Linked DNA regions of Macaca fascicularis. The protein of the gene in region 1 binds, or shares a complex with, the protein of each later gene. Links are inferred from orthologs where the notes say so. Each region holds a gene or a part of one and is shown in the gene's direction. Other genes may lie near its edges. The genes, in order: STAP1 and LAT2.

What was found.
Region 2: the proteins of STAP1 (region 1) and LAT2 are in contact, whole or in part, in a crystal structure (PDB 3MAZ), measured with the Homo sapiens proteins. The link is inferred for Macaca fascicularis from reciprocal best matches to the Homo sapiens genes STAP1 and LAT2. Residues at the interface, in NP_001304698.1 of Homo sapiens: Arg184, Arg203, Pro204, Gly205, Ser206, Ser212, Ile215, Gln217, Ile219, Lys225, His226, Tyr227, Lys228, Glu239, Leu240, Glu241, Tyr255, Phe256, Glu259, Thr260, Arg261, Asn263, Leu264; in NP_054865.2 of Homo sapiens: Asn134, Ser135, Tyr136, Glu137, Asn138, Val139, Leu140, Ile141, Lys143.

Annotation. Positions count from the first base shown.
Region 1 is NC_088379.1:66,199,368-66,208,593, reverse strand, and holds the start of STAP1 (signal-transducing adaptor protein 1), read left to right. Parts: upstream 1-4,506; 5' UTR 4,507-4,589; coding exon 4,590-4,709; intron 4,710-9,226. UniProt on the Homo sapiens protein: In BCR signaling, appears to function as a docking protein acting downstream of TEC and participates in a positive feedback loop by increasing the activity of TEC.
Region 2 is NC_088377.1:53,094,820-53,104,129, forward strand, and holds the start of LAT2 (linker for activation of T-cells family member 2), read left to right. Parts: upstream 1-4,318; 5' UTR 4,319-4,453; intron 4,454-9,310. UniProt on the Homo sapiens protein: Involved in FCER1 (high affinity immunoglobulin epsilon receptor)-mediated signaling in mast cells.

The DNA of each region.
Region 1 (9,226 bases):
TGAGTAACAATGGCTCACTATATCTCAGGCAAAGGAGTAGGAAACTCCATATTGTATGTCTGATAATCTCTGGAGTTGTGGTAGTACAATGTGCATTTTCTCCACTGAAAATGCTGCTTGTCTGGGTGTGGTGGCTAATGCCTATAAATCCCAGCGCTTTGGGAGGCCAAGGCAGATGGATCATTTAAGGTCAGGAGTTCGAGACTAGCCTGCCTGACCAACATGGTGAAACCTCGTATCTACTAAAAATACAAAAAATTAGCCAGGTGTGGTGGTGAGCACCTGTAGTCCCAGCTACTCAGGAGCTGAGGCAGGAGAATGGTGTGAATCCGGGGGGCAGAGGTGGCAATGAGCTGAGATCGTGCCACTGCACTCCAGCCTGGGCGACAGAGCAAGACTCAGTCTCAAAAAAAGAAAAGAAAAGAAAAAGAAAATGTGGCTTAATTCTATCAATAGTAATAAAAAATTTACTCATAATAAAGATGGTATTGGATTCACACCAGCCATTGATAAGCTATAAGCATTTCATGCAGTGGTTAAAATTAAAGCTGTATTCTTCAGGTATGAGTTATAAAAATAAATGCATGCAATTAAAATATCTTCGAAATATACTAACACAAATTATAATGCATATGGCAATAAATCATCAATAAATATTAAGTAAAACAAAGGTCAGAAATGTGGAAATACTAGAGCAGAGTTGGAGCCTCCTATTCAGACTTGATTGATTCAGTACTAATAAATGGATAGAAAAGTATTTTAGAGATCCTCAATTATTGTAAAAAATGTGGATTTTTACTCAAATGACATTATAACATAGAGGACTCAATAGATCACTGACATTTTGGTTTATATGAGTTAACTGTTATACTTTACCCAAAGTCGTTAAGTTATATTTGCCATAAAACCTGATTTATAACAATGTTCTGTGACACAGATGCTACCGATGGCTGTAATATTGGGCTCCAATAGTTTAATAGTAACATGATTATTCTACAAGGCAACACAAGAATCATATGTCAACCAATAGTCACATATATCAGAAAAAAGGAAACTCCTGTCACAATGGAAGCTAATAATTCTCCAAACTAGAATCATATTTTTTATCTGGAAGCTATTCAGTAAATAAATGATATTGCAATCTACCTATAACCAACCCCTACTTCAACACAATCTTTCCCTTGGAAAAACTGTTTCTTGTTGATCTGAATGTATACAAATAGCTACAACAGGACAAATGCTATAAAAAAGAAATCATACAAACTGCGTTGGGAAAGCAGAAATGAGAGTAATAACCTTTTTTTGTGTCTGGGGGGAGGGTGAAGAAAGATTCAGGAAATTAGGAAATCTTCAGAATTAAGGATAGATTCAGCCTGGGTCTTGAAGGATGAGTAGGACATTACCATATAAACAAAGGGAAGGAGGGGCATCTAAGCAGAGTACAGTGACTGAAAAGGTATGAGGTGATAGGGAAGATCATAGGGTATTCAGGCAACTGAGAATAAATGAAATTACCAGAGCAAAGGGTATTTTGAGGAGTTATTATTTAAAAGGGCCCTGCTATGAAGGACCAGTGTGCCATGCTTGAGCCCATTGTTGGTATTCAATAAATATTCAATGTTCAATGACAAAATTTTAAAAAGAAATCTCAAAAGCAATGAAAATCCATTAAAGTCTTTTCAGTAGGGGAGTATCTTGATTAGGCTGAATTTTAAATGAATTGGAGAAGAAAAAGAGTGGAAACTAGGAGACCACTTAAAAGCCTTTTGCAGCTCTTCAGACAATAAGTCATGTAGTCCATCGCCTCATTGTATGGGTGAGGAAGCTATGACACCAGAGAAGTCAAGTGGTTTGTTCAAGGTCTCAAGAGTCAATTAGTAGCAAAATTAGCTTCAGCCCTATGTCCAAACATATTTTCTACTGTATTTCCTTACCTACAAATTTATTATTCACTGCCTAAGACTTGAGATATCTGTAAGAGGATTTCCATTGTAATGGTGCAGTGGTACAATGATACTAGTAATTGCAGACAAGACTAACTGGTTAATATTGTTTAAGAAATATTTTTGCATTTTGTAGTCTTTTTTAGGGAGATTCTTGGTATATTAAAAATGAATTTGATGTATAAATCAGTAGACCAAAGTAACTTACTGCGTCTGATTAGCTGTTTTTAAATTGTTGCTTATTTTTTTAAAGGCAAAAAAACATAACCAAGTGTTTATTTGACAACAACAAAAAAAAACTCCTCTTTACATTTTTCTAGAGGTATTATTTTCTCTTGCCTATGAAACTTTCTGGCCATAAAGTCAGTATCTAATCACTGATGATCCCCAGCATTCTATCTTTCTCTATCCTTGCTCCTTCTTTTCATTTTTCAATTCTTAATCCTTCCTTTCACTTCCCCCCTGTATTACAACAACTAACAGCTGCCAAGAAAGTGGATTAGGTCATATATTCAATCAGGAGGTTTTCCCGTTACTCAAGTCACTTTCTTAGTATACTGAAACTAAAAAATAGTTATGGTTTTTGTCTCAAAAAATTAAGTTGGACTTATATTTTATTATTTGAAGGTTGGGTAGCAAGAAGCAGGTCTAAACTTATAAAAGCAAAGCAGTAATTTTGGATCTTCAACTCTCTATGTCTGTCTCTAGCTGTTTTCATTTTGATAATACATCTGAACACTCTCCTCTAACTTACTGATAATCAGTCTGTATTGTTCTACCTTACTTTGTAGACAATTTGGCATCTCATATCCCACTGCAGGATCAGTGGGACCCACACTGGTGGAGAAAATCATGCAGTCTCTCCATTAGGAAAGGAGAATCAGACTGAAGACTCCTGGCTTGCTCTGATTTCTAATAATAGGCTGGTCTCACTGGGCCCAGGCTGTTCTAAATCTAGAGTAGTTCTGAAATACTGAGTGTGAAATAGGCAATGGTAGAAATTCTTAGGACCCCTGTAAGACAAATCAAAATTCCTTCTAATATTCTTTTCTCCCATCATTTCCTGCACTGTGCTAGGGCAAATCCAATCTCTTAAGGGCCATTGCCTACATGCAACCATTGAGTGCACTTTGGTCCCAGTATAGCTTTATAAATCTCACTAGATAACTGTGGGAACTCCATCCATGAATCATAGTATCAATAGTATTCATGAACTCCATCCATGAATCAATGGTCTGCAGCTCAGAAAGCACAAAGAACAAAATAAAAGTTTGAAAACTTACAGCTTTCTCTGCCAGATATTTTTTGCCAAATATCTTAGACTCCTTTGTGTTGCTGTAACAGAATACCCACAGACTGGTAAATTATAATGAACAGAAATGTATTTGGCTCATGGTTCCGGAAGCTGGAAGCCAACATCTGATGAGGACCTTCACGGGGCATCATTCCATGGCAGAAGATAGAAGAGCAAGAGAGGGTGATAGCATGCCAGAAAGTGCCAAACTTGATTTTATAAAAAACCCACTTCCAGGCCAGATGCAATGGCTCACACCTGTAATCCCAGCACTTTGGGAGGCCACAGCAGGAGAATCGCTTGAGCCCAAGAGTTCGAGACCAACCTGGGCAACATAGGGAGATACTGTCTATACAAAAAATGAAAAAGTTAGCTAGGAGTGGTGGCACTTGCCCTGTAGTCCCAGCTACTTGGGAGGCTGATATGTGAGGATTGTTTGAGCCTGAGAGGTCAAGACTGCAGTGAGCTGTGATTGCATCAGTGTATTCCAGCCTGGGCAACACAGCAAGACCCTGCCTCTGAAAAAAGAGAAAGAAACCCACTCCCAGAGCATTAATTCATTAATTCATTCATGAGGGCAGATGCCTCATGACTTAATCCCCTTCTAAAGGTCCTATTTCTAAACACTGTTGTATTGGGGATTAAGTTTCTAACACACAAACTTTGGAGGATACATTGAAAACATAGTACTAAATATTCATTGTGAACTCATGTACTTGGAATACCTACTGGCAAAAATAAAAAAAGAAAAAAGAAAAAAATTCCATATTCCATGTTCCCATAACTGCGGTTTATATTTAGTGAAGCATCAAATGGGCATGAGATAGAACTATTTTTTTTATTTACACAAAACTTGGCCCTGAAATATTTAACCAACAGAAATAGTACTAATAAAATTATTCTATGAAGCAATTTTTAATGAAGCAGAGTTTATTCAAGTCATGTCTTCTGCAAATAAAAATGGACAGCAATAAACAAAAACAAAGGTAGAAAGAATAACTATGTTCTTGATGTCTCCCCTAAAGTTCACAATCTCTACACCTGTTTCTTTCATCTTCGGTGATGTTAATCTTCTGTTTATTTTGCTGCTTTAAATCTAAGCATATGTAGATTACCCAGAGATTGCTCTCTAAAAGTCAGATTACACCTGTTCTTTCTTACCTCACAAAAAGTAATGGAAAAAAAAGTGTGTGTGTGTGTGTGTGTGTGTGTGTGTGTGTGTGTGTGTGTCCTGTTGGTGGTTAAAAAGCAATTTGGGACTTCCTCTTTGAACAGTTGCCTTTTCCTCTCACACAAGGAGGATTTCATTTTGTTTGAGACGAGAAACCAAACCACACACCAAAGAGAGGGGTATGATGGCTAAGAAGCCCCCAAAACCAGCCCCTCGCAGGATCTTCCAGGAAAGGTTAAAGATTACTGCTCTACCTTTGTACTTTGAAGGTTTTTTGTTAGTCAAGCGGTCAGGATACCAGGTGAGTCTATACATGATAATGTTAAACCTAAGACTTCTCTTTTAATTTAATATTTATTTCATGGTGATGTGATGTGTTGAGACCCCCTTGTTTCTGTTGAAATTAAATCATCTTCTCTTCTTTGAGCTCAGAAATGATTCCAATTTTTCATAATTTAAATACAATGTCTGGCTTAAACCTGTATGTCTATGAATATATAATATGTATAATAACACAGGTTGTAATATTAAGGCACTAATATAAAAAATTCAATAAGCTAAATTTCCAAAGAATTCCAAAGAATTTAAATATCACAGAAGACTTTGGCTTGGGAGATAAAATGTTTCCTGTATTTTCTCCACAATTTATTGCTATGCTTCAATGATGAGATGTACCATTAAGATAAAATATCGCCGGGCGCGGTGGCTCAAGCCTGTAATCCCAGCACTTTGGGAGGCCGAGACGGGCGGATCACGAGGTCAGGAGATCGAGACCATCCTGGCTAACACGGTGAAACCCCGTCTCTACTAAAAAAATACAAAAAAAAAACTGGCCGGGCGAGGTGGCGGGCGCCTGTAGTCCCAGCTACTCCGGAGGCTGAGGCAGGAGAATGGCGTAAACCCGGGAGGCGGAGCTTGCAGTGAGCTGAGATCTGGCCACTGCACTCCAGCCCGGGCTACAGAGCAAGACTCCGTCTCAAAAAAAAAAAAAAAAAAAAAAAAAAAAAAAAAAGATAAAATATCATTATTGAAATTAAACCTGCTCCTGTTCTCAGTCATTTGAAGTTTATAATGATCAAATTATTAAAAATGGCTTTTGTAAAAATTGTTAAAATGACAAAGTTCGTACTGTTTAACATTATATAGTGTTATGTGTTCTAAAATACTATTCAAGATAGTGGCTTTTAATTTTTGGGGTACTACTGTGGATATTAAGTACACTAAGCTACACAAATACCTTTGCTCTAAGAAAATCCATGAAGCATTCTGTATTTTTGAATGTAATAATTAAAACTTATAGTTAGTTAAAATCATTACTTTTAAAATAGTAATTATGGATGACTTGAAATTAATTAGAGAAATGAGCCCAAAATTGCCTGTTATTAAAGAAAAAATCATTAACTTACGTCAAATTTTATGAAATTGTATATTGACTAAAACTAGAAAAACTTTAAGGTTTTCAGAAATTCCATCAGAAATGTTTAATGATGATAAAATATATTTTCTGAGGATTTATGAATACTTATGGAAAAATTATATATATGAAAAATCTGTAATAGCATATTCATATTTCTTACATATATAATCAGATCATTTACTATTTGAGAGTAAAGACATGGTAATTTGTATTCTGTTATGGATGTTAAACATGCATAAATAATTATCTTTCAGTTATACTAGAATATTTTCAGGTTGTTCCTACATGCTTTTAATGTAAATTTAATCTTGTCACCACAGGTAAGCCACATAGTCACACTTTGCCAGGAAAGGGAAGTTGAGAAAAAAAAAAAAATCTAATTTGTAATTTAAATTTGGTTGTTCACTGAATGTTTTCCAAGGTGTTTGTAATAACTGTTTATGATAGCAGTTTTTTTTAAAATGCTTAAAGAAGGTGCGTCATTGGTATGGTTAGCAGAAAGAATAAGAATTTTAGAGTGTCTTTATCTGATGGTTTTGCCACTTACTGCTCGTTATCTTGTGCAAGTTACTCAATCTCCTTGAGACTGTTTCTTCAACTATAAGATAGAGAGTACACTACTTGCTACTTGCCTCCTAAGGCACATTCTGGGACACAGTAGGTGTTCAAGCAATTTATTCACTCAGCATTTATTGTGTGCCTTCTATGCACCAAGCATCACTTTTATTTCTGGAGAATATGAAAAAAACACAAAGATTTTATTTTCAAGAGGCTTAATATAGTAGGAATGATGTCTTCCTTACTGAATTTCTACTCTTTACCTTCTCTTAGAAAGCATTATTTGAAGCAGAATGAATAACCATAGGCATAAATATTTCCAATGAAATTAACTTGTTTCTATTTGAATTTATAATAAAGTACCTGTGTGTGTGTGTGTGTGTGTGTGTGTGTGTGTGTGTGGCAGTGTCTCCTCTGTTGCCCAAGCTGGAGTGCTGTGGTGCAATCACTAGTCATGCAGCCTCAACATCCCCAGCTCTGGTGATTCTCCTGCCTCAGCCTCCTGAGTAGCTGGGACTACAAGTGCGTACCATACCCAGCTAATGTTGGTATTGTTTATAGAGACAGGGTTTCATCATGTTGTTCAGGTTGGTCTCAAACTCCTGGGCTCCAGCAATCTGCCCACCTTGGCCTCCCAACGTGCTAGAATTACAGGTGTGGGCCACTGAGTTAGGCTACAAAGTACCTTTTACTTGTATGTCAGGGAGAAGAGAGCAAGAGGATGACAATAATGCCTACTTATGTTGTGGTTTCAGGGATAGCATATGTAAAACACCTGGCTCACACTAAAGGTTAGATTCATTCTCTTACCCTTTCATCACTTACCATATTCTTATTCATGTGCTAAAATTAGTTTGAGGTCTACAAGTAATATGGCTCAAAGGAGAGTGAGCATGGTGATAATTAGAGTACTTGAAAATAGTAGCTATGAGAAAAATCTAAGGAAAATAAGTGGAATTTCCAAGCAATTGGCAGCAAAGTGCCAGGGAATCTTTGAACAGAAGGTGAGCCACAGGTATATAGCCAAGTAATCTTCGGAGCTGATTGGCTGGAGGAAGTTGAGAGGCTCTGCAGAATGTAAAGTTCGGTCTCTGCCAAAGTCATTTAGAACATTTAAACTAGAAAAAATATAACTGAAGAGTAACCTGGTCTATAAAGGCATTGAATGTTGAGAGGTGTTTCTTAGACATTTTTTTTTGTGGGGCACTTTTAAGTATTTAAAGAGCTTTTCCCCAGGAAAATGTACCAACGTATACCATTTTGCATGCAATTCTAGAAGGTTTCTAAATCTGAGGTCAAGAACCCATGAAAAACACATAATCTTTATGGAAAAGATAATGTGGGAAGATTTATTTAAACCACATCACTATGATTCTGGATTAACCAGGAAGATGTATTTGATAATAAAAACTATTAAATGCCACAGTGGAATACCAATGGCCTCGCAGTTCTTACAAATGGGAAAATTGCTCATTTTTTCTGGGACCGTTTGAAAATAAGACAGAGTTTGGGTGGGCCAGGCGCCATGGCTCATGCCTGTAATCCCAGCACTCTGGGAGGCCCAGGTGGGCAGATCACGAGGTCAGGAGATCGAGACCAACCTGGTCAACATGGTGAAACCCCGTCTCTACTAAAAATACAAAAATTAGCTGGGTGTGGTGGCACATGCCTGTGGTTCCAGCTACTAGGGAGGCTGAGGAAGGAGAATCACTTGAACCCGGGAGGCAGAGGTTGCAGTGAGCTGAGATGGCACCACTGCACTACAGTCTGGCAACAGAGCAAGACTCTGTCTTTAAAAAAAAAAAAAGAAAGAAAGAAAAGAAAGGAAGAAAAAAGAAAAAGAAAATAAGAGAGAGTTTGGGCAATGTCTCGTAATTCCTTCAATCTGTGATGTGCTAAAATTAAAAAAAAAAAAAAAAAAAAAAAAAAAAAATGTGTGTGTTGACCGGGCGCGGTGGCTCACGCCTGTAATCCCAGCACTTTGGGAGGCTGAGGCGGGCGGATCACGAGGTCAAGAGACCGAGATCATCCTGGCTAACACGGTGAAACCCCATCTCTACTAAAAATACAAAAAAATTAGCTGGGCAAGGCGGCGGGAGCCTGTAGTCCCAGCTGCTGGGGAGGCTGAGGCAGGAGAATGGCGTGAACCTGGGAGGCGGAGCTTGCAGTGAGCCGAGATCGCGCCACTGCACTCCAGCCTGGACTACAGGGCGAGACTCGTCTCAAAACAACAACAAAAACAGTGTGTTTAATATGTCTTATTAACCTGAACATAAGCATGGGATCATCATAACTGTATCAAAATCGTATTCCTCTAATCTACTCACCTCTAATTCATTTAGTGAAACTCCGTCTCTACTAAAAACACAAAAATTAACTGGGCATGGTGGTACACGCCTGTAATCCCAGCTATTGGGAAGGCTGAGGCAGGAGAATCGCTGGAACCCGGGAGGCAGAGGTTGCAGTGAGCCAAGATCGTGCCACTGCACTCCAGCCTGGGTGACAGAGCGAAACTCCCTCTCGAAAAAAAAAAAAGTAAATTTTTTAGGGCTGTCTAAGTTGTGCTCACAAACAGTTCTCTACGGCAGTAATCTCCGAATTTTAATATAACACACTCCTTTCAGGGAAACATTTTGAGCACAGATCCTTAAAATAAGAATATTGATTCATTTAGAAATTATAAACATATATAGTCCCATACTATTACTCCATGTAAATTAAGATATATAAAAAATGAATTAAGAAACATAAAATATAATTAAATATTCTAAAATTTTCTCTCCCAATGGATCATCTTGCACACCTTTGGAATTTATGCATCCCATTTTGGAGACCACTATACA
Region 2 (9,310 bases), on another chromosome or scaffold:
AAAACAATACAAAACAAAACAAAAAACCAGAACAGACTAGGTGCAGTGTAATCCCAGCACTTTGGGAGACTGAGCAGGCAGATCACTTGAATCCAGGAGTTTAAGACCAGCCTGTCCAACATGGTGAAACCCCGTCTCTACTAAAAGTATAAAAAATTAACCGGGCGGAGTGGCAGGTGCCGGTAATTCCAACTACTCAGGAGGCTGAGGCAGAAGAATCGCTTGAACCCGAGAGGCAGAGTTTGCAGTGAGCTGAGATCGCCCCACTGCACTCCAGCCAGGGTGACCAAGCAAGACCCCATCTAAAAAAAAAAAAGAAGAAAGAAAAAGAACAGTAGGTAACCCCTGTCCAGGTGCATAGTCTGGGGCTGGAGGGAAGCTGATGCACGCTTGTTCCCATTGTGTGAGGAGGAGCCAGGCAGGGAGTCCCAGCGAGGAAGCCAGGCTTTGGGGTCTGGGTTCAAATCCAGCTTCAGCTCCGTAAGCCTCTGTCTTCTTACCGGTTACCGTGGGAAGGAAACGTGGTCCTGAATCCAGTGCACTTGCCATTGCTGGATGGAATAAGGGAGGGTGGCGGTTGCTTGCACAGGCACAGATTTGGGCATCTGATGGCCCTAGCTTCAGTCCTAGTCCGGCCACAGAGGGAGGCAGGGTGAGCTCCTCTCACGGAAGCCTGCGGGAACTCTCAGAACCAGCCCCTGGAGCATGTGCTACCCTCCTGCTCCACGAGGTGGCAGCAGCGGGCCCAGCCTCTTGTCTCAGCGGCCACCTCTCCTGGCCTGGCCGGGACACCGCCGCCAAGGCTGAAAGAGAAACCTAGCCCCAAGCTGAGAGTGGAACCCCAGAGCCAGGGTCCTGGGCCTAGAGTCGTCCAGAACTGGGGGTTCAGGTTCTGAAATGCCAGACATTTAGGAGCTGGAGGACTGTCATGCTCTTGCCTGGTGTCTCCAGCAGGTGGGATAGACACCAGATTCAATGGGACCAGTCTCAGTGGCCTCACGCCTGTAATCCCAGCACTTTGGGAGACTGAGGATGGAGGATCGCTTAAGGCCAGGAGTTCAAGACCAGCCTGGGCAACATAGCAAGACCGTCTCTGCAAAAAAAAAAAAAAAAAAATTAGCTGGGCGTGGTGGCACGCACCTGGGGTTCTAGCTAACTCTGGAGGCTGAGGTGGGAGGATCATCTGAGTCTGGGAGGCAGAGGTTGCAGGGAGCTGAGATTGCACCACTGCTCTCCAGCCTGGGTGACCAGGTGTGACCCCATCTTAAAATAAATAAATAAATAAATATAAAGGGGAAAGAACAGTAGGTAACCCCTGTCCAGGTGCATAGTCTGGGGCTGGAGGGAAACTGATGCAAGCTTGTTCCCATTGTGTGAGGAGGAGCCAGACAGGGGGTCCCAGCAAGGAAGCCAGGCTTTGGGATCTGGGTTGAAATCCAACTTCACCTCCGGACCGAGTGAGACCCTGTCTCAAGAAAGAAAGAAGAGAGCAAGGAATAGAGACAGAGGGTCAGACAGCAAGAGTCTCAGAGGATGAGACAGACACAGAGGCAAAGGACGAGGGACACGGGTGGGCAGGGCAGGGACAGAGAGACCCCTGCAGAGGCCACGAGGGCAGGGCAGGTGGAATAAGTGACCGAAGACAGGTGGAGGAGTGGATGGCACACGTGTCAGAGGCTGCGGATGGAGAGGGCGCTGAAGGGTGGGAGAAGGAAGGACAGCCAGCCCTGCTCCACCCCAGCCCTGCAGGTCTCATCACTCCACTGCACAGATGAGGCTCCTGGCATCAGGGGGTGCAGAGAATGGCTCACAGCACAGGCAGAGGGACCACAGCCCACTCCTGCCCAGCGCCGCTCCTGTGCCCAGCCCTGGGGTGGATACCGTGGCTGCCATCCACACAGATGTGAGGACTGAGTGAGACAGTTCCCTGTGGAGCCCAGGACGCTCTGGCACCTGAGGTCAATAAAGCCACATCCCGCAAGTGGGTGGAGTGCCTTGTGCTGTTGACCATTAAACAGCTGCCCAAGGCCATTGAGCTATTCATTAAATATTATTATTTTGATTTTTTTTTTTTTTTGATGGAGTCTCACTGTGTCGCCCAGGCTGGAGTGCAATGGCGCAATCTCGGCTCACTGCAACCTCCACCTCCTGGGCTCAAGTGATTCTTTTGCCTCAGCCTCCCGAGTAGCTGGGGCACCACCACACCCGGTTAATTTTTGTATTTTTAGTAGAGATGGGGTTTCACCATGTTGACCAGGCTGGTCTTGAACTCCTGACCTAAGCTGATCCACCTGCCTCAGCCTCCCGAAGTGTTGGGATTACAGGCTTGAGCCACCACACCCAGCCTATTTATTGTTTTTACAGACAGGGTCTTGCTCTGTCCCCCAGGCTGGAGTGCAGTGGCACGATCATGGCTAACTGCAGCCTCCAACTCTTGGGCTCAAGCAATCCTCCCATTTTGGCCTCCCAAAACACTGGGACTACAGGTGCGTGCCACCACACCCAGCTAATTAAAAAAATTGTATTAGAGATGGGGTCTCGCTCTGTTGTCCACGCTGGTCTCTAACTCCTGTTCTTAAGCAATCCTTCTGTCTTGGCCTCCAAAAGTGTTAGGATTACAGGTGCAAGCCACCACACCTGGCCTCTATCTCCCTGTTTCTTGCTGTCTCCCCATCTGTGTGTGTCTCTGACAGTCTGCGGCTCTCTTTCTCTCTGTGTATTTCTTTTTTTTTTTTTTTTTTTTTTTTTTTTTTGAGACGGAGTCTGGCTCTGTCGCCCAGGCTGGAGTACAGTGGCCGGATCTCAGCTCACTGCAAGCTCCGCCTCCCGGGTTCACGCCATTCTCCTGCCTCAGCCTCCCGCGTAGCTGGGACTACAGGCGCCCGCCACCTCGCCCGGCTAATTTTTTTTTGTATTTTTTAGTAGAGACGGGGTTTCACTGTGTTATCCAGGATGGTCTCGATCTCCTGACCTCGTGATCCGCCCGTCTCGGCCTCCCAAAGTGCTGGGATTACAGGCTTGAGCCACCGCGCCCGGCCATCTCTGTGTATTTCTGTGTGTCTCTCTCTGTGTCTCTTGGTCCATCTCATGCCCAGCTAATTTTTAAATTTTTTGTAGAGATGGGGTTTCACCATGTTGGCCAGGCTGGTCTTGAACTCCAGACCTCAGGTGATTCTCCCGCTTCAGCCTCCCAAAGTGTAGAGATTACAGACGTGAGCCACCATGCCTGGCCCATGGGTGTGAATTTCTGCCTGTGTGTGTTTTTTGGTTTGTTTGTTTTTTGGTTTTTTTTAGATGAAGTCTCACTCTGTCACCCAGGCTCGAGTGCAGTGGCCCGATCTCGGCTCACTGCAACCTCCGCCTCCCAGGTTCAAGCAATTCTCCTGCCTCAGCCTCCTGAGTAGCTGGGATTACAAGCACCTACCACCATGCCCGGCTAATTTTTGTATTTTTAGTACAGTTGGGGTTTCACCGCGTTGGTCAGGCTGGTTTCGAACCCTGACTTCATGATCTGCCTGCCTCGGCCTCCCAAAGTGCTGGGATTACAGGTGTGAGCCCCGTGCCCGGCCCATGGGTGTGAATGTCTGCCTGTGTGTGTCTCCATATCTGCCGTCTGCAGGAGTACCTCAGTTTCATTATCTTGTTCCCTCTCTGTTGGAGAGTATCTCTCTTCCTCTCTGTGTGACTTTTTGTGTTTGTGTGTTTAGTGTGTGTCCGTATTTTCCTGTTCTCTTTGTGTCTCTCTGCTCTCTGTGTCTCTCTCTCTTTTTCCTTCTGTTTTCTGAGACAGAGTCTCCCTCTGTCGCCCAGGCTAGAGTGCAGTGGTGTAATCTCGGCCCACTGCAACCTCCGCTTCTGAGATTCAAACGATTTTCCTGCCTCAGCCTCCTGAGTAGCTAGAATTACAGATGCACACCACCACACCCAGCTAATTTTGTATTTTTAGTAGAGACGGGGTTTCACCATGTTGGCCAGGCTGGTCTCGAACTCCTGACCTTAGGTGATCCACCCGCCTCGACCTCTCAAAGTGCTGGGATTACAGGCGTGAGCCACCTCACCCGGCCCTATCTCTCTTTCTTCTCTTTCTCGCTCTCATTTTGTTTCTCTTCTCTCTCTCTGTCCTCTCTCTCTCTCCCTCCCCCTCTGTCTCTCTCTTCCCCCACCTCTTTCTCCCCCTCTCTTCTCTCTCCCACCCCCTCTGTCTCTCTCTCTCCTCTCTCTTTTTCCCTCTCTCTCTCTCCCACCCCCTTCCCCTATCTCCCCTCCCTCCCCTGCCCCCCCCACCCGGTTCATAGCTGAGCCTGTCCGGCAGAGCAGCGGATGTACAGATGATTCAGTGGCTGGCAGGAAGCCCGCCCTGCCCGCCCGCCAGTGTCAGTGGTGTTGGCATCAGCTCGGGCAGGTGTGCGGGCTCAGGATGGGACGGCCGCGGTGAGGAGCCCTGGACTCTCAGGTAAGCCTTTCCCAGAGGTGCCTCAGTCCTTAGGCTGTCCCCCATCCCCCAGGAGCTCCTGGCCCCACTGGGTGGGGTGGGAAGAAGCCTGGATGCCTGGCACCCCCTCCCGCAGTGCCACTCCCGCCCTGGCACCAGATCCTGTGGCACTTCAGGAATCAGTTTGTTTCTGGGCTTCTGGCCACTCTCCTGCCCTCACCTTCCCCTGTCTAGGCTGCACAGCCTTGGGACATCCCAGGGTGGTCCCATCATTGCCAGAGACTGGTGAAGGGCAGCCGAGAGCCAAAACAGTGGCTGCCCTGGCCTGGGAGCCTCGGTTTCCTCATCCATGAAATGGGACTGTAACCCCCTATACAGGTCAGGGAAAAACGGTGAGATACAGACCAGGGCCCAGGTCCTGCCCCAGGTCAGGTGGAGAACCCCCACTGCCTCCCTGCCCAGCCCCCTGCCTGGCCCTCAGCTCTGTCCCTGGGACTAGGGCTGCTCAGGCCCCTGCTGCACCCGCCCGCCTCCCCCCATCCCAGCCAGCCTCATTTGAAGCCCAAAGTTATTTGGAAAAAGCAACAGGACCAGCCTGGCACGGTGACTCACACCTGTTATCCCAGCATTTGGGGAGGCCAAGGCGGGAGGATCATTTGAAGTCAGGAGCTGGAGACCAGCCTGGGCAACATAGTAAGACTCCCATCACTTAAAAAAAAAAACCAATAAAATTAAAAACTAAATGAAAAAAACCAACAGACACCAGAGCAGAGTTCAGTGGATAAAGCTGTCCGGGGCTTCAAGCCAGGCCGCCCCCTCCCCCACCCCAGTGTCCGCAGCCGCAGCTCGGCTGGGGGAACAGGCAGGGTGGTCTCGAGTGTCCTCCAGCCCAGCCCCGAGAGCTTCCCCGAAGCCGGCTCTTGGCAATCTTTGTTCATATGAAAACTGCCCACTTCCCTTTAGTGCTATTTTGGCCTCTGCAGAACTGTGGTCTGTGGCAGCCCCCACTCCCCACCCCGCCCAGCCCTGCTGGCCCCTGGGGGCCTTAGAGGGCCCACCCTCCGCTCCCACCACCTCCCCCCACCTGCTTTCAGAACCTACATGGAAGAGTGAAAGAGCGAGACAGAGACACACGCAGAGAGGGAGACAGAGACAGAGACACAGAGACACGGAGACAGCAGAGAAGTTTTATTTTTTTAATTTTTTTAAACGGAGTCTCACTCTGTCATCCAGGCTGGAGTGCAGTGGTGTGATCTCGGCTCACTACAACCTCCACCTCCTGGGTTCAAGCAGTTCTCCTGCCTTACCCTTCCACGTAGCTGGGAGTACAGGCACGTGCCACCACACTTGGCTAATTTTTTATTTTTTATTTCTTTTTTATTTTTTGAAGATGGAGTCTTGCTCTGTCGCCCAGGCTGGAGTGCAGTGGCGCGATCTCGGCTCACTGCAAGCTCCGCCTCCTGGGTTCACACCACTCTCCTGCCTCAGTCTCCCGAGTAGCTGGGACTACAGGCACCCGCCGCTACACCTGGCTAATTTTTTTGTATTTTTAGTAGAGACGGGGTTTCACCATGTTAGCCAGGATGGTTTCGATCTCCTGACCTCGTGATCTGCCCGCCTCGGCCTCCCAAAGTGCTGGGATTACAGGCGTGAGCCACTGTGCTCAGCCTAATTTTTTTATTTTTAGTAGAGACAGGGTTTCACCATGTTGGCCAGGCTGGTCTTGAACTCCTGACCTCAGGTGATTTGCCCACCTCAGCCTCCCAAAGTGTTGGGATTACAGGCGTGAACCACCGCACCTGGCCAACAGCACAGGATGTATTCAGTCTGGGGGCAGACACACGACTGTTTGTTAAATTTTACTTTTTGTTTTTAGAGACGGGGTCTGGCTCTGTCACCCAGGCTGGAGTGCAGTGGTGCGATCTTGGCTCACTGCAGACTCCAACTCCCGGGCTCAAGTGATTGTCTTGCCTCAGTGTACTGAGTAGCTGGAACCACAGGCATGTACCATTGTGCCTGCCTAATTTTTTTCATTTTTTTGTAGAGACAGGGCCTTGTTACATTGTCTAGGCTAGTCTCGAACTCCTGGCCTCAAGTGATCCTCCAGTCTCGGCCTCCCAGTGTTGAGATTACAGGCGTGAACCACCACACCCAGCCTGATCCCATTTTATTTATTTATTTATTTATTTATTATTTTTGAGATGGAGTCTCACTCTGTCTCCCATGCCGGAGTGCACTGGCGTGATCTCAGCTCACTGCAACTCACCGCCTCCCGGGTTCAAGCAATTCTCATGCCTCGGCCTCCCAAGTAGCTGGAATTACAGGCTTGTGCCACCACGCCTGGCTAGTTTTTGTATTTCTAGTAGAAACAGGGTTTCACCACATTGGCCAGGCTAGTCTCAAACCCAAGTGATCCTCCCATCTCGGCCTCCCAAAGTATTGGAATTACAGGTGTGAGTCCCTGTACCCAGCCCGACCCCATTTTATAGATGAGAAAACTGAGGCTGGGGGCTCTCAGGCGCAGGCTAGATTTGGTCCCATGAGCCCTCCCCCAAGACAAGGTGCTCCAACCTCACAAGCCTGAGATGAACTTGGGCCATGATGGAGGGGTTGGGGGTGCACCCTGGGTTGGGGACACTGAGGCAAGGTGAGATTCAGGGAGGGAGAAGGGCAGTGCCCAGGCGGGCCATGGGGAGGAGAGAGCAGAGCTTTCCTTGGACAACCTCCCGGGGTGACGTGGGTCGTGCCAGTCACACGGCTTGGAAATTCACTTGTTCCCACTGACTCACTTGGCTTTTGGGGAGAGGCCCAGTGGCTTCTCTGTGATGGGCCCCTGACCGTGGCTCAGGGCCACATGGAAATTCCGCATCATCTTACCACGGGGATTTGGGAAGTCCAGAGAGGTCCTGAGACTTGTCCAAAGCCACCCAGCTTTCAAGGGGGACAGCCCAGGTCCTGGTGGGCCTCGGGGATCCCAAGGCAGGAGGTAGGCAGCCTGGAGCTCCTCTTTTTTTCTTTTTTTGAGATGGAGTTTCGTTTTTGTTGCCCAGCCTGGAGTGCAATGGTGGGATCTCGGCTCACTGCAACTTCCACCTCCCGGGTTCAAGCAATTCTCTGCCTCAGCCTCCTGAGTAGCTGGGATTACAGGCACCCACCACCACCATGCCTGGCTAATTTTTTGCATTTTTTTAGTAGAGACAGAGTTTCACCATCTTGGCCAGGCTGGTCTTGAACTCCTGACCTCATGATCCACCCGCCTCAGCCTCCCAAAGTGTTGGGATTATAGGCATGAGCCACCGTGCCTGGGCTTTTTTTTTTTTTTTTTCTTTTTTGAGATGGAGTCTTGCTCTGTTGCCCAGGCTGGGGTACAGTGGTGTGATCTCGGCCCACTGCAACCTCCGCCTCCCGGGTTCACGCGATTCTCTTGTCTCAGACTCCTGAGTAGCTGGGATTACAGGCGTAAGGCACCACACCTGGCTAATTTTTGTATTTTTAGTAGAGACAGGGTTTCACCATATTGGTCAGGCTAGTCTCGAACTCCTGACCTCATGATCTGCCCACCTTGGCCTCCCAAAGTGCTGGGATTATAGGCGTGAGCCACTGCACCCAGCTGGAGGGCCTCCTTTTAAGTCCTGTTTACTGCTCCAAGCCTCACCTTCCCCGGCTGTGGGATGGGGAGAAACCCTCCTCACTGGTGGCCAGGGCAGGAAGAACACTGGGGTGGGGGACAGTGGACACTCGGAAGTGTTGGCTCCACAAATGCCCACCATGCTCAACCCCTTCAGAGACCCCACCACCCTCAACTCTGTCCTTGGCCATCTCCAGGGGGCCAGGTCTCCTTATTATTATTTTTTGAAACAGTCTCGCTCTGTTGCCCAGATTGGAGTGCAGTGGCATGATCACAGCTCACTGCAGCCTCGATCTCCCTGGGTTCAAGCAATCCTCCTGCCTCAGTCTCCCAAGTAGCTGGGACCACAGGCATGCACCACCATGCCTGGAGATATATATATATATATATATATTTTTTTTTTTTTTTTTTTTTTTTTTTAGACGGAGTCTCGCTCTGTCGCCCAGGCTGGAGTGCAGTGGCCGGATCTCAGCTCACTGCAAGCTCCGCCTCCCGGGTTTACGCCATTCTCCTGCCTCAGCCTCCCAAGTAGCTGGGACTACAGGAGCCCGCCACCTCGCCTGGCTAGTTTTTTTTGTATTTTTTAGTAGAGACAGGGTTTCACCGTGTTAGCCAGGATTGTCTCGGTCTCCTGACCTCGTGATCCGCCCGTCTCGGCCTCCCAAAGTGCTGGGATTGCAGGCTTAAGCCACCGTGCCCGGCCTTTTTTTTTTTTTTTTTTTTTTGAGACGGAGTCTCGCTCTGTTGCCCAGGCTGGAGCACAGTGGCACGATCTCCGCTCACTGAAAGCTCCGCCTCCCGGTTTCATGCCATTCTCCTGCCTCAGCCTCCTGAGTAGCTGGGACTACAGGTGACCCTGCCTCAGCCTCCTGAGTAGCTGGGACTACAGGTGCCCACCATCATGCCCAGCTAATTTTTTTGTATTTTTAGTAGAGACGGGGGTCTCACCGTGTTACCCAGGATGGTCTCGATCTCCTGACCTCGGGATCCGCCCGCGTCGGCCTCCCAAAGTGTTGGGATTACAGGCGTGAGCCACCGCGCCTGGCCTTTTTTGTATTTTTTTTTTTGTAGAGACAGAATTTCACCATGTTGCCCAGGCTAGTCTCAAGCTCTTGACCTCAATCAATCCTCCCTGCCTCAGCTTCCCAAAGTGCTGGGATGAAAGGCGTGAGCCACCGCGCCTGGCCCGGGTCTGTTTCTAGTTGCAACAGCTATTGGAAGCCCATTGGAGAGGGCCACACTTCCATTCA